Lepisosteus oculatus: one gene and its partners. The protein of the gene in region 1 purifies or fractionates together with the protein of each later gene. This does not show direct contact. Links are inferred from orthologs where the notes say so. Each region holds a gene or a part of one and is shown in the gene's direction. Other genes may lie near its edges.

Region 1 (7,469 bases):
ACTCTGTCAGTCGCCACTCCAAAGGCCAGTCATCCTAATGCTCAGTGTAACAGCACTTTATGTATTTGTGATTTGTAATTGACATATTTAACCATATGAATTTATGATGCACAATTTTCATCAAAAATGTGTGTTTTGAGCTTTGGAGCAGAAGGGATTCTTTTTCCTGTCATGTGCTTTGCTTTTATCGGCCATGACATGTTATCATGTAGCTAGAAAGCCTGCAGCTGACGGAGAGAGGAAGCCCGTGCAATAAGGGCTATTTTAGAAGTGCAGATATTTACAACAAAAAAATGATCAACATTCGAAAAGGCATCCTATGATGTTGCATAATGTGCTATGCCTCTTGCAACTTCCTTCCTTTGTGTTACATTGCTGGTCCTGGTATCTAGACAAGTGGAGATAGAAGCCTTTATTCGAAATGAACGGCACTGGGTACTGCAATAGTGATTAAAGGAGATAAAAGCACTTAAGTGATTCTTTTTATTCATGCATCTTTATTATTTGTTTTTCTAATTGTGATGTAAGGGAGTGCTCTTTGCCAGTATCAATGGGTTGCATATTTTTTAAAAAAATGTTCCGTGTCGGAGCATTACAAAATTAACCTCTTTATGTGCCCAAGTCCTGTTTTTAATATTTTGCTCACCAGGGCGTGACCAACAACAGAAGCACCGATAACTGCACAAAACAGAAAAGGGAATGCAAACAAAACACAGGGCGCCGATCAGGCAAACTGATTTGACTAATTCTGAAAAGGGGGACGGTATACTGCAACATACACTGCATACACATTTATTGTCTTATGCAAATAGGTCTGTCGCCCGTATCAGCCCTGCCTAAAGGATATTTTACAGAAACCGGGCAGGCCCTGCCAGCAGTGTTGGTTTGCATTCTTTTCAGAAAACCCTGGAGTTCCAGGTAATGGCTAAGCCCACTGTAGAAGGTACTCTGGTGGCTGACGCACGGAGAGGGAGGAGAGCTTGAAAGAGGCGGGAAGGTGGTGCTTTGTTTTTGCCTTCCTTGCGTTCTGTGACGGCGCTCTTGCGTGCTGCAGGTGTACCTCCTCATTCTGAGCGTGACCACCCTGAGCCTGCTGCTGGCGCCCGTGCTGTGGAAAGCCGCTACGCTGAAGTGTGTCCCCAGAGCGGAGCGCTGGACGAGCACCTGACTGTGGCGCCTCTCCTCCCCGCCGCTTCGGATCTGGGGCCGGTGCCGGGTCCGGCTAGAATTCCGTTTCCCAATCATCGTTTTCATTGGGTTGGGCCGGTCGCCGTGACAACACGACGCTGTATTTCATCAGACACTTAACGTCCTGAATGTATAAGCGGGAGACCCTGCAGTTTTGACTGCCTTGGCCAAAGGAGCGGTCACTTGAGTGTGAAAAACAGCGTGATGAGAGAGTTTGGATCAGTAATTTCGATTTAGTATTTTTGTACAATGTCCAAGGCGAAACATTTGTGGTTTCTGGGAGTGATCATCCTGGGTAAAGCATGACTTTTTAACAAAAAGTCTTGTCAGTTCAAAACTGATTTAATATAAACACTGTGTCCTGAACAGTCGGGAATATGTGTACATATAATTTGCTCTTATTTGGTCTGTCTTTAAATTATTTTGACCTACAAGTGTTTGACGTTCCCTGCTTCACCTAGAAAAGTCTGTAATTTTGAAAAGAAAAGAAAACTGTAGAGAAATATAATAAGGCTGTAAAGGAACTCGGGAGCAATGAAGAGGGGCCACTTGCTAAAGAAGAAACATCTGTCACAACGTGGACTGAAGATCCATTGTTGTCTGTCATGCATGATATGTCCATGTTCACACATGGAGGGCCTTCAGCTGGTTGAACAAAAGCAGAAGGCAGGATGCACCAGCTTGTATGTAAATATTGGCACTTTTAGAGCTCTGATATAGCTTGCTTATTATGTTTGACCTAACTTGTCTGAGCAGGTGCTTCCTGTAGGATGTTTTTAATGTGAAACATTATTTGAACCAGTATAGGAGAGCTAATTTGGGGCTTACAATGTTTGTGATTTGTAGGGTTGTGTCAGTGCAAAGGTCTATATTTTTGTATGTCATGCCTTATACCTGCTGGCATGAAAAATAGTTCTTGAAATTCCTAATCGTAGCCACAGAGCATGCAGGCCAAATCAGTTGCTAATGTTGGTTACATTACTGACATTCCAATCCTGCTGATGACACTGTTTTGAAATAATTTGTCTTGAAAGATTGCTCAGGTTCAAGACCTACTCTTTTTAAAAAGCATCGTAGCAGCAATTTCACATTAAACTTTATTTTTTTTAATACTGTCAGAATTCCTTAATTCAGGCTGCAAATCAGGCAGTTTAATTTAGGTTTAAACCGTTAATTGGTTTGATGTCCTCTATCTTCCATTAGATCAAAAGACAACAGCTAAATTAGGAAGAAAAACAATAGATCTTCGATCAAAATTGCACGCTTCTTTTACCGAATGCTTGTTTTAGAGTAATATTTATTTTATTCTATTTTCAAAAGAGTGGACCCTTTCCAAATTATGAATGGCATAAATTATTGGATTAAAGACATGGTCTGCGCTGTTCCAAGGCTGTCTTTGATTGAAGTTATCTGTCTAAACCTTTTTGTGTTGTCTGAGCCCTTACGGTCTGAATCCTTCAGTTTCAGAAAAAATGTAAAATAAGTGCCTTACAATACATTCCACATCTCCCTTGTGTTACCTCGCCATACACTGCATGGATGTCACGGTACCTTTAATATGCTTGCACCTACGTACTTCTTAGTCCTTAAACTTCATCAGCATACTGTAAGGGGGTTCTTAATTCTTTGACATGGGTTTTCTGGCCTGTGCTCAGTATGAAGTAAAACTGGCCAATTGACCAGTTTTCCGCTTGCTTATGTCTAAAAGGTTTGTGTGTGTTTTCCAGATGCTTTAAGTATCCGTTACAAAATCTGGACTTTCTGCGTTAGTCCAGTGCGGCGCAGGTAATAAGGCATCCATGATAGTCATCCTTCTCATTCTAAGCACAACCAAAGAAACCCTTTTAAACACTTACTGTGGCTTTTGTTTTTCTAAAACACAGAAATGTGTAACAGTAAATTTGAAATGGGTTTTGTTACCAACGGTTGCCTTTTTGCCAATTCTCTTTTACGTCCTGTAAATGTAAAGCGCTTTGCTGCTAAGTGTTTACATGGCTTTCTGCTGGGATGCAGATGAGCATGGCTGCTCTTGCTTTGAATGCATACCGGAGGCACTGATGATGCTTTGCTTTGCAGTGCTTTGGCAGTCAGCTTGGGAAGAATTGTGTGATTACAATAAAGGGACCCATTCGGGACCTAGAGCGTTCATGCTCCTCAATAGATTGCACTTGTGAGTTTAAAGAAGGTACAAAAGTTTTATGAAGTTAAATTAAGGTGTCAGGTGTTGTTCCAGTCTATATAGTGCATCACATCCTGTGACCATAACACTAATATTTTTGTAAGGGGAATGTTTAAATAACTTTATTCAGAAATGAAATATAACTTTTTTTAAAAACAAAGTGGTAGCAGTGATTATTTTATTCGGATGAATCAGATTTCAAGCACAAGCGTTTTAGGAATCTTTATTTTTTATTGGTTTAGAAAATGGTGTTCAACGATCCAGACTATGTGAATTTATTTTGTTGTCCATCTAATGTAATGTGACTTTTTTCATTCCACGCATATCAATGTGTAAAGTGCTGGGAAGGATTAGTGGATAAATAAAAATAATAATAAAATAACATAACATTGGAATAAATGTGAAGTATCATTGTGATTTGTTAAAGTGCTAAACCACAAAGCTGTGAAAGTACAAAGTGGAATGTATCTTATTTTATTCCATGATGTAGATTACTTTATTAATGACCGACAGAGAATGCTGTTTCCCTGCCAGCATTCCTTGTTAATATTCCAGTTAATCACTGGGATTACTTTAGGAAAAACTGCCCGGTTGCTTTAGCTCAAGGCTTCATTTTAATAAATAACAATAGTTACAGTATTATGCCATCTTATAGAGAACTTAATTACACCACTTCTCATTGTTGAATAATTTCCTATCATATTATTTCCGGACTATCCAGCTCTGTTTAGGTTATTTAATTTAACTCTCAGATGTAATTTACAAACATTCCTAGTGTTTTGAACGGGTATGTTATCCTTGGACACCTCGGGCTACTGTAACATTTACTATGGAAATCGGATACATTTTTTTTACACATCGAAACCCAAAAAAACAAAAGCCAATCCGATCCCACCAGCCACCTCTCCACTCCCAGCTCCCCCTCTATCCCATAACCCCCCGCGCCAGGTGCCTCCACCAGAGCGACGGCTTTACCGCCAGCCATTGCGAGAGGGGGAGGCGTGGCCTCCCCACCCGCCCCCCCCCCGCCTCCTCCCGCCGGCGCGATGACGTCGCCCCGTGCGTGCCCAATGGGCGCGCTCGTTTTGTGGACACCGCCAAGATCAGTTTTGTCGGCCGGAGAGCAAGGAGCACAGCGCGCTGGAAGAGGCAGGCTCGAGTTGGGAACCTGGCGCTGACAGGTTCTAAGAAAACACCGGAGCGCACGGGATAAAAAAAAAAAAAAAAACATTCCGTGGGTGGAATCTCCCGCGCCGCGCCACGCCACGCCGGGGCAGGGTTATGAGCCTCGGGTTTTGAGCAAGTAAGTGGCGGACGGACCAGTAACCACCCCCCCCCATCCAGCGCAGAGCAGAGCGTTTCGTTTTACGCGAGGGAGTAGTTTTGACACAGATGGCTGAGGCGACATTGCAGGCGAGCGCCGGAGGGGTCCGCGAAAGTTGAATCCTTACGCCAGGATTGCACGCATGCGAGCGGGGACGTGGGCGATGCTGGCTTCGCCGTGGCCCCCTGCGTGACGAGGGCTGCAGTCCCGGCTTGGTGTAGCCAAAGGTCTTTTATTCCCCACCACCACCTCCCCTCAATCCTCTTGGTTCTAACGGCAGTGAAAGTCGGTGTGATCCAGGTCCCAGCTGGGTTACTGAAGGGGCGAAACGACCTGGGCTTTTTTGTTGTTGTTGTTGTTGTAGCTTTGGGTTTGACGTCCCGTTCCAAGGTAAACACAAACCTCTAGCTTCCTTTGCGGCGGCGACCCCGGCTCTCTGCCTCCCCAAGCACGAGTTATAGCCGTGGTCTGAGATGAGACGGGCGATCGGGACAGAGATGAACTAGCCGCCGTGCCTGCCCTGCACGCTTGAACCCGGGGGAGACGGCCCCCAGGACAGGCGCCGGGACCCCCACGGCTGTGCTGCCGGGTGACATGCCGGAGCCGGGACGGGGGCTCGGAGCAGCGTGCGGCGGCGGCGGCCGTGAGAGGCCAAGATGGCAAAGCGACCATTTTGTCGAGGACGGGCTTTCCGAGAGCACGCAAGGGGCTGCGTTTTGAGTCCTGCGTGTCGGCGGTGTAGCTCGGGGTGGCGTTAATTCTGACAGAATGGCAGACTTGGCCCTTTTTTGTGTGTGTTTTCTTTTCAGTTTGGGGTTTCCTGTTGGGTGTACGGGTTCAGACCACCTCTTCCTCTCCCACTGCCAGCCAGCCAGCGCAGGAGCCGGAGTGCAGCTGAATGACGCCGGGGCAGTTGTAAGTTTGTTGCAGTTGATCGGAGGTGGTCGGTGCCTTTTTGTTTTTGGTGGGTTTGGGGGGGGGGGGGGGGGGGGTCGTTTTATTTTCCGATGAGCTGGCGAAATGAATTCGCGTGTGGTGGCACATTGTAGCAATCGGGGCGTGCAAGTTCAGATGTCTTAGATTTTTGCTGTAACCACCTTTTGGTTTTTAAAGAGGACGTGCGTTTCCGCGTAAATACTTTTTTTTTTACCGAAGGTGCAATAGGAGGATTTTCGGGCAGGTTTTAAGTCCTCACCCCCCCCCCCCCATCAAGGGGACACGTACTGTATCGCCGAAGCAGGTTGCAACAGTGGCCGGATTAGTCCGGACTCTCCAGTTTCCAGAAACGCGTAGGCCTCACGTCGCCTGTTTTTCTGAAGTTGGGACAAGCCGGCACGATCCAGCCCAGTGTGTTCACGGCCTGGAAGCGGGCTCCCATTTCGCCCAGAAACGGGTTTTGTTTATTTCCGACGGTGCACCTTTTTGTGTTCACAACGCCCGTGCCCGAAGGAATGGAGATGCTGGAGTGCCGGCCTGCTCGGTGAAAGGGATTCAACTTCTTTGGGGACGGAGGTGGGGGGGTATCTTTGCAAAAAAAAAAAGGGCAAAACAAAATGAACATCGTGCTTCCTGAAAGGGTTCGCGTTTTTCTGCACGGTGCAGGCTCTCGGGTGCTGTGCCCACGCGTTTAAAACGATACTCTCTCAGCTAGGACAGACCAACCGGAGGCCTAGCGCTTGTTGGGGGGGCCGCTAATGTTATTCAAACGGTCAGGCTGACACCCGGACACGGCTTGCATGTCAATGACAGGGGACTCGTGTCCCTTGTGCGTTAAAATGGACACCACTTTCACCCGGCGAGCACCACCGGCGCTTTGGTGGCAGCTTTGTAGCCGCCTCCTCCTCCTCCTCCTCGTCGTCGTTAAGGAGAGAGTGTGTCTGTTGGGTGGTGTTGACGGTGTTCAGTCTGGCCTAGAGGGGGGTCTCTCGGGGCCCAGCTGTTGAGCTCAGGGGTGGTGGGGGGGGCTCTCAGTGTCTGGTGTTTTTATTAGGCGCCCAGTACCTTTCTGGAGGGGGTCCTGACAAGGCCAAGAGACACCCTGAGCTTTGATGTTTTTTTTTTTTCCCTTCCTTTTCCAGCTGAACTAAATGAACACCTCTCGCGGGGAGCTCGAAAGGTAAAGCCTGCAGGAGGGCCGGAGCCCGGTCCGAGTCCGAAACGGCGCCCCACCCACCCCCAACCCCCCACGCAGGCGGGTTAAAACCGGGCTGACTTCTCTCTCTTGCAGGCAGGCCTTCGCAGAACACCCTGAGCCGTTTTCTCTCCCTCCCGAGACGCCAGCGCATCCCTTCTCCCAGGACTCGGTATCATGGCGAAGGATGTGAGTGAGGGGGTGGGGAGGACACTGGCAGGGGCGGGCTGCGCCTCGGCTCTGTGGCCAAGAGGCCTGGGCTCTGTGCTCTGCTGTTGAGACGGCAGGACCTTCTGCCATCGGGTGGGGTGGGAGAGAGAGAGAGCTCATTCCTCATCCTCACTCTCTGGAGGTTCTCTGTACCCTGAAACGTCGAAGCAGAGCGTCCTGGGTCTGTACAGAGCCGGCCCGCATGCGTGCGTTCTCGGTAGGGCTTACTAGTCGTTGACACGACCTCGCCATTTTTTTTTCCAATCCCGATTACTTCCCTCCAGGATTTCGGTCGCGTGGAGCACCGGCCGGCCGTTAAACCCTCCACACGCCAGGCCGCGTTTGGCAGTCTCTTCTTGCAGGCTCGTGGCCTGGGTAGCACCCCCAGCGCACGCCTGGGCTCTGCCGAAGATTGTGGGTTTCGTGATGGCAGGCTC
Region 2 (7,577 bases), on another chromosome or scaffold:
CTGTGTAACTCATCTTGGGGCTTGTAACTCGCTCGCAGGTGCGGACTGGCGCCGGGCAGTCTGCCTCAGATCGCTCCCGCCTTGCAGTTAAAAAAAAACCCAGAAACAAAAAAAAAATCTATTTTTTGGTCCCAGTGCTGTACGCACACTAACCTCTTTTCCCCACTGGTGAGCTAAAGACCCACGTGCATCGTTTCTGCCCTACATTAGAGGTCACAAGCGTCCTGGAAAGACAGGAGTGATGGCTCCTGCTATAAACCCCCGTTTATGTCCTTTGAACTCCGTCGCTTCAATTTCAGATTAAGATTACACGAGTAGTTTTAACTTGTTACTTTGATCGTACGGGTAGGCCTTTAGTGACATCACTGTCTTCTCTAATCCTCTTGAGTTTTTAAGTGCTCATTACAAATAATAATAATGTATTCATTTCTTTGATCGCGGCGATCCACTCTCAGTAATTCTCGAAACGAAACGCCTAATAGCTTGGTTAAATGATGTTTGATTGATCTAAATTTGCTAGTTCGTGTATTGTAAATACCCTCATACTGTCGAAGTACAGTGCGTTTTGTATTTTTTTTCCACGGGCCTAAGCGCCACCCAGTGAAAGAGACCCTGTGTCCTGTTATTAATCCCAATGCCCAGTCAGCCAGACTTCCTCATTGTGACAAGTTTTACTCTTCTTATTCTATACAAGTCTCCTTTGTAGTTTTGATTCATGTCTACTGTTGTTACCTTCAGCTTCGGTGGTCGTACTAAGTTGGGGTGTTTATATCTGAATCAATGTAAATATAACTCCTGCCAGGACGGTGGATTTGTCTTGCATGACTGGAGCGCCACCTAGCGGCCCAGGGCGGTAGCACAGATCGAATCTTGTGTCCCAGTTGTCCTGTAGGTGTAGCCTACGATAGGTATTGCATCTTTTTTATATATATTTTTACGGAGGTCATACACATATGAGTTAACTGATTGACATCTTCAGGGAGATGTTTAATTAACGGCACTATTTATGAAGGTCAGAAGACAAGTTTCTAAAGGTGTCCTCCTAATGGAGGAGAATTATACTGTATATGATCAAGTACAGGAGAGTCCGCAGCATGGTGCAGTGGTTGCTGCCTTTTAGTGCTGGGGCCCTGGGTTCGATTCCTGGGGTGCGATCTGCATAGGGTATGTATTTTCATCCTGTGTTTGCGTGGGATTCCACAGGGTGCTCCAGTTCCTTCCCAGAGAGCTAAATCATACTGGTACTGTAGATTAATTGGCCTTAGCGAAAATTGGCCCTGGTGTGAGTGTGTGTGTATCTGACCTGTGATGGACTGGTGTGTCCAGGGTTTCTCCTGCACCCATTGCTTGCTGGGATAGGCTCCGGCTCCCCCACCACCCTGTATTACATTAATCAGTTTGAAAATTGAAAGACAACCATTCTGAAGCTCAGCAGGTGTGAGCCTGCTCGGTACCTGGATGGGAGACCTTCTGGGAAAAGCTAAGGTTGCTGCTGGAAGATGTGTTAGTGGGACCAGCAGGGGGCGCTCCCCCTGCAGTCTGTGTGGGTCTTCATGCCCCAGTATAGTGACGGGGACACTATACTGTTAAAACCGAGGTCCCGACTCTCTGTGGTCACTAAAAATCCCAGAGCGATTCTCGAAAAGAGTAGATGTGTAACCCCGGCATCCTGGCCAAAGTTCCCATTGACCTTTACCAATCATGGCCTCCTAATAATTCACATCTATGAACTGGCTTCATCACTCTGTTCTCCTCCCCACTGAGAGCTGGTGTGTGGTGAGTGTACTGGTGCACTTTGGCTGCCGTCATATCATCCAGATTGGGCTGCACATGGTTGGTGGTGGAGGGGAGTCCTCATTACCTGTAAAGCGCTTTGAGTGGAGTGTCCAGAAAAGCGCTGTATAAGTGTAAGCAATTATTCTGTATTCATATATAGTACATGTATTAATGTATTCATTATAAGATCCACTCACACCACTCCACATCACTCCCCTGTGGAGGCAGCATCACTTTCTGCTTGACCGAGCAAGTTAGGAGCTTCCACTCAGAAACCCTGTCGCTGTGGTCTCCCCACTGATGTGCAGTTGTCTGGCCCCAAGCGTCTTCCAGGTACGCACAGTTTAGATGTGTGCATTTATATGTCGGAAAGAGCATAACTGACAGGAGGCCATATGACACACCATATTCACATTCATTCATTTCTGTTCAATTCGTCTCCATACTAACATGGAGAAAACCCCCCTCCATGAAGGAAATTGCCTTTAACCCTCCAAAAAAAAGGGACGATTTAGAGTGGCCAGCCATGCCTAAGACGTGAAAGAGTGACCAGAGAAACCCCACATGAACATGGGGATGAACTTGCAAAGTTAGCAAGTTCCAAGGCTGGAATCGAACCCAAGAGCCCAGGTCTGTGAGGCACAAAATCACAACATGGCCATGCACTGGGAGTGGGGATGGGGTCGTTTTCTGGGCCTTCCCTTTTGCTGTTACTACTGCACGAGGGACAAACACAGACCTGCTATAAGCACTTGAAGACTTCAGGCTGGAATTTGTTTAGTGCTTATTGTGTACAGAAGATGCCAGAGAGCAATGGGAGTAAAGAAGATCACCAAGGATCTGGGGACCCACATCGAAGTTAAGAAGGTGTGCTCATATGACCCATAGGAGAGTGAGAAGCTTTTCTTTACACAAAGAGTGGCTGGGGTCTGAAATAAGCAGCACCTCCATGCTATATAGCCCTATTATATTATATAGCCTCTTGGAGATCCTCTAAGAACTGACCAGAAACAATTCTCAGATCCAAGTTAACTGTCACAAAAAGAGCTGGATCTCTTTTATGTTTTTAATCCATTTGGTGAGTAAGTTGAGAGCTCCAGTCCTGCATGATTCTCGCGCAGCTTGGTACAGTCTGAAAGATGAAAAGATAAAGGCCAATAGGAAAGTCCTGTTTCAGGTAAGTATAAAGCATTAGATCTATATTATTTACTCAATGGGCTCCCTAACACTCTTCTCAGTGAGTTGCAATATGTTCAAAACTCTAGACAGCTAGACTACTAACTCACACCAGATGCTAGCATCTTATTACTCCTCCACAAGTCTCTACACTGGTTGCCTATAGAATCATGTATTCAAGATAAGATCTTATTACTGTTCAAGGCTCCAACATACTTCTCTGAGCTCCTGCATGTCTACACTCCCTCCTCTAGCCCCATTCAGCTGAGACTGGTCCTCCGCTCACAGTACCCAGGACTAGATCTCGGACTCTCGGGGACTGTGCTTTTTCTATCACTGCCATTATGTTTTGGAGAGCCCTTCCTCAAGACTCTCTTCAAATCCAAAATCAAAACTAACTTTTTTCACCACAGCCTTTATTTGATTGACCTTTATTAATTGCTTACACTTACACTTATATAGCACTTTTCTGGACACTCCACTCAAAGCACTTTACAGGTAATGGGGACTCCCCTCCACCACCACCAATGTGCAGCATCCACCATATTCTATCTATATGATACCATGTGTTCTTATTTTTTTAAAGTTTTTATTGTACTTTTTGGGTCTTTTTCTGTGTACGAACAACTTTGAAAGGTATTATTTATAAAATGCCTTCTAATGACGCTGTTCATCATTAATAAGAAGACGAAAAAGTACAATACAAAGTAAATCAAGAATAAAAATAATAATACAGGTGTTTACAAATGTAGGCAAGCAGACGCAGATCTTGGTAAAAAGGTCAGTTTTAAGTTGAGATTTGAAGAGAGTTAAAGAAGTTGTCTCATAGAGTCTGAGGAAGGTCATCCCACAACGCTGGAGTAGCGACAGAACCAACAGTCGCCAAAAGTCCGTGATTTAGTGGGCACAGTGAGGAGAGGACATTATTATTAATACTAATATTATTATTAAGACTTAAACGTTCAGTTGCTGCAAAATGTATACTCTACACACAGCAATATATAAGTAAATATATAAATAAATACGTGTACATCATGTATATAAAGAGCTGGTCACACTCAGTTGCTTGGCTAAGCGTTCAGAAAGCCAGGTAGCAGAAAAGGTTGGGGCGCAGGACAAGCGAGCTCAGCCTGAAATTCACTTTAAAGAAAAACAAATCCGAAGCGTTCAGTTTTTCGTGTCAACCCCCGGATGTACGATTCCCCTGAGGCTTGAAGAATATTTACATTACAGTCCTCCTGGTGGTATTCAGGCTGAACTACGTTGGTAAATAATCGGATTTTTTTTTTTATGGGAGGCAGCTCCCACAAGCTGCTTCTTAACAAAGTTCTACTGAATACGATGCAATCCTGCGCATTTCTTCAGGTCCCCAAATGTCTGATTCGAGTTGCTGCCTGTAAGCAATTTAAATGCAGCAGGTAAATAAAGAGTTCAAGCTTAGTCCAGAATATCGGCCTCTGTCTCTTTAAAGACAGGGACCCTCCCCTCGCGCTCCAACAGTTCTATGCAAATAACCAACAAACGGGCAGCATTGTGACCAATCAGAGCCGAGCTCCAGCCGCGGGAGATCCAAATTTCGCGGGACGCACTTTGGCGCTAAAACTGCAGGTCTGATCAGCTGGGGAGTTGAAGCTGTTGTAACTTTGAAATAGCAGGAATTCAGCAGGACTGTTCATGCACTCCGATGAAAATCCGAAGCATCCTGTACAAAATACACTTGTATTAGGGATTCTGATCCAGGATTGTGAATCTGCAGACTTTGCTGAATCTGGATATGCCTATATTGGAAGGGATAGGCGGTATTTTTTGGATTTTTGACACTATTAGAGTTGGAAGTCCACTTTCATTCTCTTGCTTTTCGATGCAGTAACCAGATCTAGGTCTACGAAGCAATTTTGTTTTAGATTAGTTTAAAAATACTGAAATCTTAAAAGAGGTGGCGTTTACTACAGATAGATTATTTAAGACTTTATTACTTGTGTGTATTCTGCGTATTTTTAGCATTTTAACCTATTGTTTATCGACAATCGGCAAGAGCAGCAGTCAGCTGCATTGTTTTTAATATTTAATCGTTTTTATGAATGCACATTTCTGCTAAAGCTTCTGGAAGCCGGTCGTTCACACAAAAAGGATATACCGCATTATTATTTTTTTCCCCCGATTGAGTGGCAGACTTGAGTGGGGAATTTTTAGCAGAGCAGAATAAAAGATGATGCGGTTACCCAGAGGGGTCTCTCCGGCTTCCGGTAAGGGAGCAGTTGGCTTTTCGGGGTCGACGAGGAAGGTGTTAGCCGGGGCAAGAACCGAATTATTCGGTACTGAACTGTCGAGTCCTCCGATCAACTCTTTATCGTCCGGCTACCTCAGCCAGATCTGCAACACCGCTTCTGGGGATCAGAGGGCGAGCTGTCTGTACTCGACCCCCCACGGGCCTGAAGCGAAGCCCATCAGAGCTACCTCCGGGAGGCTACCGGTAAGTCCGCAATGATTTAATGCGCTCCATCTTAACCTTTTATTTTGAATAAAGTGCCCTTTCTTACACCTTGCGGTCTAGGATGGTACCCCCGTAGCTGTAAGGCGTGTCGTTTTGTATGCAACTTTAATGTTGCGTCTCAATCGAAACGTCGAGTCAATATGAGAATTTCAGATTGACTTTACTGATCGCTTTAACTGGGCTGGATGCGTAAATTTTGCGAGCACAAGTTTAGAGCTCAATCCGTGTCGCGTTATTAAATGTGAGTGTATGTGCGGGGGGTGGGGGGGAGCGATGGTTTAATTTTTCGGCCCAAAAAATTGCGAGATTTGTTTAATTGTGCAGTGCTCGAGTCTGCGGCGCCCAGAAGTCGTTCAAGTGGCGAAGGGCTCTAAACGGTGACTCGCTTTGGAAGCGAACGCAAAGTCAGTGGGGCCGCCTTCTGAAGCGGCAGTAAAAAGATGGAAGAGGAGGTCTGGGCTTTTCCCGCGGGCGGCGTGGAAGGAGGCTGCGGCTCCCCTTTGATAGAGGCCGTGGTCTCGCATCCCAGCTGTTACAGCCTGAGAGAGGGGGTCAGTGGAGGACCAGAGACACGCCTGAAGAGGGGGGGGGGTACCATAAGAATAGCCCGAGACAGAGGCACAAGACCGGGAGATGTGCGTCATTAAAACGGAAATGAAACCTCTCCAATGGTTCCCAAATAATACAGCAGAGCGTGATGAAATATGAATAAAACGAGACAGTTGAATCGTGTGCGCTATCCGCTAATTTTGACCAACTTGCTCCATTCATTCTGCACAGCTGTTGGTGTCCTTTTCCGGTGGTTTGCCACTCTGTGTGACACCTGCTGTACTCCTAGTGCGTTCACATCCACACAACCTGCCGCTGTCACTTCAGGGTGGAGAGTGCAGAGGTCAGGGGTCAAGCCCTGTTTGCGGCTGCAGTGGGCAGGAGGGCTTCGGGGGTAGGTCTGCGCAGGTGTAGTTCGGATGAATTCAGCTGTTCGCAAGGAAAAGCCAGTTTAAGGCGGAGTTCGTGCGAAGGTGTTTCTACTCCAAACAAAAAAAAAAAACCAACAGTTTAAAAGCCTCTGGGGTAACTGGATCGAAGTGTGATGAGCAGTTTTTTTTGCTTCTCCTTTATGAATGAATTGCTTGAGTAGAAGTGCTGAGACTGTATATAGCCTCAGATGGACGTAGATGATGTTTAGAAAAAGCAATTGGAACTTGCGCAGTTCAGGGTGCCTCCCTGCCCCTTCACTTCAAATTTTCAAGAACTACAAAAATATGGTCTTCAGCTTTTTGTGGTGCACATCAGATTTCCTGGGTGCACCACGTCAGTTGAAGTGATGTTTGCAGCGTAACCTGGTGGTGCCACATTATGAAAATAGCACTTGATTTGACTTTCTTGGGTGCTCATGTCTGCCCTATCAACTAACAGTTGATTTGCATGAGAGAATGTAGGAGTGTGTCACTCAAACCTGCTCTGTATTTTTTCTGGTATAGGGTAAGCCTGAAGGGGAGAGGGCAATTATTTTTAACCTTTGATTGGATTGAAGCACAGGGAAGTAATTGCATCTGTCCCAGCCGGATTTACATTGAACTACACAGGTGTGCAGTATTCTGGTCCTCAATTGCTCAAACTCACAGCAATATGTGATGCTTTGTTCCTATTACAGGTCGTCTTTTTAAGTTGTTGTGTTGAGAGGAAAGCACTGCATCTTGACCTCTTCACAGACTATTCTGAAATTTCTGTGTTTTTTGTCAGCTGTGAGATGGTGCATTTGTTAGTACAGCTACTGCCAAAATTAGTAGTTTGCAGGAACATGGATTATTACTATTCTCAAACAGGAAAGTCACTGAAAAATAAAGGTCTGCGTTGTGCTACTAGAAAAATCGTGATGTAAAGGTATAAAAGTGTAAGTGCTTTGATTAGGATCTCAATACAGTGAACAACACAACTGCATAGTAATTAAGTTTCTTTAAGGGGCAGCAGTGGGCAGGGGTCTGGGCCAGTAACTGGAGGATTGGGAGTTCAGATCCCAGGTTTGTATGCAGAGTGGGGAACACTCCCTTATTATTCTGGGGCAGTGCAGAGTGGTGGCTAAAGCACTGTACTCCTAAAAGCTATTGATGTTTGGAGGTGGGCTACC
Region 3 (7,112 bases), on another chromosome or scaffold:
GTGAAATATATTTTATAAAATTGAAACTACTGTGGTAATGTAATGTAGGCCAGCAGCCATATCACCCTGCAACTCACAACTAGCAACCCACTGAAGCTAAGCAGGTGTGAGCCTGGTCAGTACCTAGATGGGAGACCTCCTGGGAAAAACTAAGGTTGCTGCTGGAAGAGGTGTTAGTGGGGCCAGCAGGGGGCGCTCACCCTGCGGTCCATGTGGGTCCTAATGTCCCAGTATAGTGACGTAAACAGGTGCCGTCCTTCGGATAAGACGTAAAACCGAGGTCCTGACTCTCTTTGGTCATTAAAAATCCCAGGGCGTTTCTCGAAAAGAGTAGGGTGTAACCTGGCTTCCTGGCCAAATTTCCCATTGGCCTTTACCAATCATGGCCTCCTAATAATCCCCCCTCTATGAATTGGCTACATTACTCTGCTCTCCTCCCCACTGATAGCTGATGTGTGGTGAGTGTTCTGGTGCACTATGGCTGCAGTCACATCATTCAGGTGGGTTATTATTATTATTATTATTGTCCCTTCCAGGCTGTACCCTGCCTTACGCTCTTCTCCTGCTAGAACAGGCTCCAGCTCCCATGCGACCCCAAACTGGAAGAAGCACTTAGGAAATGGATGAATGGATTTGCAAATATATTTGCATCAGCAAATGCAGCACTTTATAGAGGGGTGTATGGTATATATTCCTTTACACATGCAGATTCTCATTGGAAATGAGAAAAATAAGTAAATAAATAAGCTTCCTGAATTGGAAGACAGGAACTCCCCAAAATACGTCAAATGTACCTTCATCTAAATACTTGCATGTGGCCTCAGTCTTGTTCCACTTTGCCTCCTATTTTCTGTTACATGTTAATTGTTTGGAGTAATTCCCACTGCGTTTCTAACATTTTCCTTTTAGTCATGACAGAAAAACATGCTAACATGAAGGATTAAGGAATTTGATGTTCAGAGTTTGAATTGAATGCTTGAATTACAGCTTTACTGTTAACGTACATTAGCACTCCTAATTTTTTTTTTTCCTTTGTGTGTTGTGGAAGGGAGAAGTTGAAACAGAAGCTCACAGGTTTTTATTGTCCTTAATAATTAACAGGCGCCTGCTAGTCATTCAGAGTTGTTGAGAGAGAGAAAGAGCACAGCATTAGCTACAGTAACATCTCATGTGGTAAAAGACAGGAAGAATTCCACCTTTTCTATCAGGGAGAAGAGGAAGGTTAGAGAACAATCCCAGCACTCCATCATGGGGAAAGTGAATAGTATACTGTAATTAATTACAGAAATGTAATGTTTTATTATTAAAATAATGTAGTGCATAGGATAATAACAGTTGTCAGTGTGAAGGTATAAGATATAAGAGTGCATTACTGCTTACATAAATGTCAGCATATATAAAGATTTTCTGACTCAAATTAAATGTATAATTCAATCACACATAATATGGTCAATATTAATCTGGGACTAGGGTAAGATATATAATTACCCCTGAATTTTAAATTAATTTAAAGCTGTTTTTTTAGTTGCTTGGTGCTTGTTCTATAAACATGGTCTGGGTAGAGAAGTGCAAAAGTGCTTGTCTGTGGAATTTTAGCTTTGCTTAGATCTAATCCTTATTCCACGCCCAAATCCAGCTCCAAAATATATGACCAAAATAACACTAAACCTATATTAATATACATGAGTAAATGGATCAGGAATGTAAGTGTAAGTATGTGCCTAACATGTAATCTGACTCTGACCAAGCCCTTACTTTAACCTGAATTCATTAAAAAAAGTAATCAAAGCTAAATATTAATCTTCATCTTCTATTCTTAAGATTTTCACCTTCATCAACTTAAAATAATCTGAAGACCTCTTCCTCTTCTTGAGTAAGAAGACATGAACACTGAATCTTGTAACACCTCAAAAATGATCAGTGACAAATATCCTGCTTAGAACCAGAACATCTACTTTTGCTGGATTTAAACCCTAAACTGGGCAAAGTCCTCTAGTCGGGTTTCTAGAGCATGCTTTGGCTGTGGAACCTTTCTGCTCATCACTCCTTTACTTACCCACTAGGAACTCTCATTAATTCAAAGTAGTTTTCAACAATCTCAGGGTACATTTAGGTGTAATATAGGTGTTAGAAATCTTTTGAAAAAAAAAACTCAGAAAACTGGGATTGTTTCAAAAGTGAGGGTTAAGTGAGTGATAACTGAGCACTAAATCAAGGGTTGGGAATTTTCCCGGGACTTGGATTAGGGTTAAAAAAAAAAATCAACAGTTTAACTGCAGCCAGGTCATCGCTTTTGAATAGTCCCAATTCAGAAAGGGAAAGGGCAAAATTGAGACTTGGCATGAACGTTTTGTGTGATGTGAATCTCGGCTTGTGCCAAATTGGTTCATCCTAATGCAAAGTCTCCAACATCATTGAGAGTACAAAAATGGAAATTACATCCAAAACACCACTCATCCTCCGTTTTTAATCGTGACAGAAAGAGAGTTATGACATTAAATAAAGCCTTTGTTTAAGGGGAAATATAATCTTAAATTATACTGCACGCATACCCACCAAATAAGATTGTGGTTGCTTAAATCTGACAATTTACAGCAGCCATTATTTTATACACAGGTTGACTCGAGGATGGAGATACAAGTAGGAAAATGAGCAAAGTTACGATTTGTTGAGTTTTGGAAGAATTTCTATTGACCTTTGATGAAATCTTTGATTGGGTCTTAAGATTGTGTTCAATGAGTAATACTGTACATCTAGCGTTAGTAATACTGTATGTATTACTTAAAGTTAAAGTTAGAAAACTAACAGCCATCACTGTGCTTGAAATGACCTGATTAAAACAAATTCTTACCCTAACTCCATTTACACATATATATCCTACTGTAGGTTTTAACATGTTTCACAGCCTTTACCAGTGAACCTTTCAACTGTTTGTAGTGTTAGTACACTGGTAGTTTGCATAATGAGTTAGCAGCAAAATTGTACCTGCTAGGATTTATCATAGTCAGTGTTGGGGTGAGAACCACACAGCAATACTTCCTAAACTGCAGCAAACTCCATAACGTCAGAAGACTGTGCTCTTTATCTTACCAGATTTCAGAGGGTTGATGTCACTTCTGTAGCATGTTCAGTGAACTGAGTCCTGTCACACAGACATTATAGGATAGTGGGAGATCTTACAGGCAGATTCTGAAACCCTACTGACAATACATCCAGAGTGTAAATGTAAAAAAAAAAAGAGTATGGTTAGTAGGATATGATTGTGGTATAGAATAACTGATTAAAATATTTTAAGTTGCCTTGTTACCACGTTATCAAAAATGGTATATTTAAAGTTCAGTTACAGTGATTACAGCATGTCACGACTAAGAGCTCTGGTACCCTTTCTGACACTCCCTTTCTCGACCATTCACCTTGATCTCCACCACTTCGTGGTATACACCTTGAACACTGGTCCTACATTTATGTACACCCTCTGTTCCAACTCAGTACAAGTCAGTGAGGACATCCACTTCTAATCCTAGGGTCTTTGGTCGCCTTCCACACCTCAGGAAAGACAAGAACTGCGGTCAAGCCACACGAACCTTATCTTAGCCAAAAGGTCGTTAATGTTTACGGTGTTCGCTGACTCGCATGACAAACTGCAGTATAAGCTAGTGTTTAAATACATACTTTCGTTACTAAACGGTCGCCCTGTCTCAAATCTTACCATAAACTGGATACGTTTACCTGTCTTATATCATGTTTATATAGACACCAGTGCACGTTAAAGTTTTAAATCAGTAAACCATCGTAACATATAATTAATATCACAACTATTAAGTTCACACCTTGGTGAACAAGCACTAAAATATAAGAAGGAATAACCACCATCAAACACCGAGAAGAAGGGAATCCCCTTCTGTTTCGTCCAATCACCTTTTTCCTATGTAAATAGTTTTCTTTGGTACCTTGGCAACGGTTTTTTTAAGCATCCAATGGCGTGCCAAAGCAGACGTACTCGCATTCTGATTCGAGTACAATTGTTGTTACGTCAGAAAATGGAGGCGGAGACTGGTTCCAAGATGACCAATAGCTTTGAATATGCAAATCTCGTTTGAAAAGTTCCCGGGAAATCTGAGTTTCGCGGGAGGGTCTTTCGCGCGTAAACTGTATCCCTTCATTCATTGTCAGCTTCCTGGAGCCATTTTTCAGCTGCAAAGACGGAGGCTCTTGTCAGTTTTAAATCCATTGCATCTGGCTGTCTGTGTTCTTAATATTAACTTAAAATTAGTAATATCGGTACATTAGACTCTCTTCTAAGTTATACTGTTAGTATTTCAAACGTTGTTGATTTGGATTTCGAGAAAATCGGCTCCAAACCAGAGGAGGGACAAAGGGCAGCCGGAGCAAATAAAGATGAGAAAAGGGATCTCCCCAGCTCCAGAGAAAGTAATAGTAGCAGGGGTTGGAGTCCCAGCCGTTGAAAAAAGTACTGTTTTAACTGGACTGTCAGAAAGTTTTACTTCTAGTTTTCCCAACGCTACATATATCCAGATTATCACCCCGCCGTCCTGTATTCCACAGACTACGAATGTCTGTGTGTCCGAGTCGCCAGCTGGCAGTTTGATTTACTCCACTCCTCACGGACCAACAAACGGAACGGGACAACGACCTGCATTCGGACGTCCACCGGTAACTAAACTGCTCATGTAGCTTAAAAGAAAGTAAATAATTGCAAAACTCAAATGTTTCTGCGTCTGTTTATAATATGCATACTCGCGGTCGAGGGATCACAAATTCGGGGAATGGTTGCTTATCTACAAATTTGCTGCAGCGATCTTACTGTTAGAACTCATCTTTTAGATTTATAACACGGCCGCGATAGCAATATAGCCTTTTCGTTTTAAACCGAAACTTTTCCTTCCTGTACTGGCCTAAAAGGGGTCACACCCGAATGTAAAAGGTCAATTGCTGAAACTCTTCCGCTCTATTTACAAGACGTATTAATAAACTGCTCCTGTGACAAAAATGACATTCGTGGTGCTGCTTTAAGAAAAATACGGAGGACAAATCTAAGCAATAATCGGTGTTATTTTATATGGGATCAGTGTATAGGATTGTCGTGGCGCTGTCTTGTGGGGAAAAACCAAAACGCTAGGCCCTGTTTTCGTGTTTTTTTGGAAAGGGGGGAAGGGATCTGTCTCTCGCCACCTTCGAGATATCCACACACATCTCTCCATTCTTGGGCAGTGTAATCGTTTTAGCAGTGTTTTGACTTCTGGGACTAAAAACCCGGAGCACGTCTTGTTTAAGCGAGGAGTATGGTTTATATGGCAGAGATGACTGTACGTGCAAATCGAATATTACCTTTGACATATAAAGCACACAGGAGTTTTTCGAAAACTAAAACATGCTCGGAGCAGGTGATGTTTGTGATAAGCGAAGTCGTAGCTGTTTCCTAATCACTTTGGCCCATTTTCGTTTGTCACCAGGAACGTGTGCATATCTTTCTTCAATTTTGAAGAGTTTGGAAAACTACAGTGTTCTGCAACACCCTGTAGGATACATTTAAAAGCAAAATGACATAAAGGAGAGATGTCAGTACTTTAAATGGAACGTTATTTTCAAATATATTAGCCACATAGAGGTAAATGTTTTACTTTATTTCAATTGCTGCACATAGCTATGGCCTGTATAGCGTTCTAGCTCTAGAAAGACTTTCCAATGATGATGAAGCAATATTAAAATTAGGGAGACAGTGCTCTGAATGGAGCTTAAAGAAGGCACTCTTCTGATGTGCAACCCTGATTTGCTTCCCCACAGCACTTCCTTGATTCTCTGGAAGAATAATTTTAGGCCAAAATCAAACTTTTTAATATGATGACAGACACAAAGGCCTGGATAATGAGTTAATATGGGTATAATTCTGTACCCCGATACAAATTTGCCAGTTTAACTTCACATTGTGCTGCAACATTTGCCAAATACAAGAAAGCAAGCTTTAACTCTTAACGGCATGTTTTGTGACACGTTATGGGTTTGTTTCAGGCCCTTTCTGTCTTAAGCTAATTGTATTTTATGGGCAGTGCAATTTGTAGCTGCCTGAACCTTGTTCATGGTGTTCTGTATAAGGCAAGCTGACACTGGCTGGGCAGCAAAATCTGCTGTGGATGTAGACATTCAGTAAGATATGGAACATTTTTGGTAAATGGTTCTGTGTTAAAGGTGAATTGAAAGGGACAAAGAATTATTCGAACATAATGTAGCCTGGTATGTACAAAAGAAAGATTTTAAAAATTCAGGTAAATGGAGACAAGACATGGAGACAGTTATTCAAAAGGGCCAGTGGAACTCATTTTAGCCTGGGTTCACTTCCCCTATGTGTGACAGGCACCTTCTCATACAGGTAAAATACACTGCATACATATGTTTAGACCTTGCCCTTCTAACATTTTTCCTAATTTGGACCCAATATATAACAGATGTGGGCAGACTCCTGCCACTCTCATATACATGTTTGATCTTGTCCTGGGCTGGTTAATTTTTGGTCCTCCATTTTTGACACTTTCTCTCATATTGCTCATCTTGAAATTGAGACTGCTCCTTACTGGCATTTTTATCGTGCAAACCGATAGCTTCCTCCTATCAAACATTTTTAAAAAGCAAGCCTGTCTTTCTAGCTTTTCTTGTCGGGCACCTTTTCCTCTTTAATTGGTAGCAAGCTGCCTCAAAGATGATGCTGTTTAATTTGATGAAAATTAGATACATACTTAGTCCACTATTCATTTTTTTTAAATATTGTCAAACATTTCTGAACAATTTAAAAACTTTGAGCCTCACTTCTACACCCTAATGTTTCTGTCGCTAATTGGCTGTGCAGGTGATACCTGATGAGACTGGCTCTTTTTTTTTGCTTCCTGGAGACTAGTGCAATTAGTATTTTGCCATTTTGAATTTTCTGTCTACTCCATTTTGTGAGGGAAGATTTGGGAGGGATGTGAAAAGGGGTTAGGAAATTCTGTTTTTTATTTTTAAGTGATTGAAACTGATTTACATTTCCTGTCTCATTAATATGTAATATGTAACATGCATCTTGGTGTTTGGTTGATTAAAAAAAAGATTTAGGTAAA

Evidence for each region.
Region 2: the proteins of tfdp1b (region 1) and e2f2 purify together in Homo sapiens (affinity purification with mass spectrometry; 3 studies listed by BioGRID and IntAct, with this or other methods). This does not show direct contact. The link is inferred for Lepisosteus oculatus from reciprocal best matches to the Homo sapiens genes TFDP1 and E2F2.
Region 3: the proteins of tfdp1b (region 1) and e2f3 purify together in Homo sapiens (affinity purification with mass spectrometry; 3 studies listed by BioGRID and IntAct, with this or other methods). This does not show direct contact. The link is inferred for Lepisosteus oculatus from reciprocal best matches to the Homo sapiens genes TFDP1 and E2F3.

The regions. Positions count from the first base shown.
Region 1 is NC_090710.1:28,862,677-28,870,145, forward strand, and holds the start of tfdp1b (transcription factor Dp-1b), read left to right. Parts: upstream 1-4,465; 5' UTR 4,466-4,670; intron 4,671-4,716; exon of another isoform or gene 4,717-4,918; intron 4,919-4,924; exon of another isoform or gene 4,925-5,081; intron 5,082-5,500; exon of another isoform or gene 5,501-5,606; intron 5,607-6,769; exon of another isoform or gene 6,770-6,807; intron 6,808-6,918; 5' UTR 6,919-6,999; coding exon 7,000-7,011; intron 7,012-7,469. Other genes in the region: tmco3 (transmembrane and coiled-coil domain-containing protein 3), read left to right, coding at 1,055-1,168. UniProt on the Homo sapiens protein: Can stimulate E2F-dependent transcription.
Region 2 is NC_090706.1:10,811,394-10,818,970, forward strand, and holds the start of e2f2 (transcription factor E2F2), read left to right. Parts: upstream 1-4,577; 5' UTR 4,578-5,161; coding exon 5,162-5,425; intron 5,426-7,577. UniProt on the Homo sapiens protein: Transcription activator that binds DNA cooperatively with DP proteins through the E2 recognition site, 5'-TTTC[CG]CGC-3' found in the promoter region of a number of genes whose products are involved in cell cycle regulation or in DNA replication.
Region 3 is NC_090705.1:12,634,509-12,641,620, forward strand, and holds the start of e2f3 (transcription factor E2F3), read left to right. Parts: upstream 1-4,112; 5' UTR 4,113-4,398; coding exon 4,399-4,674; intron 4,675-7,112.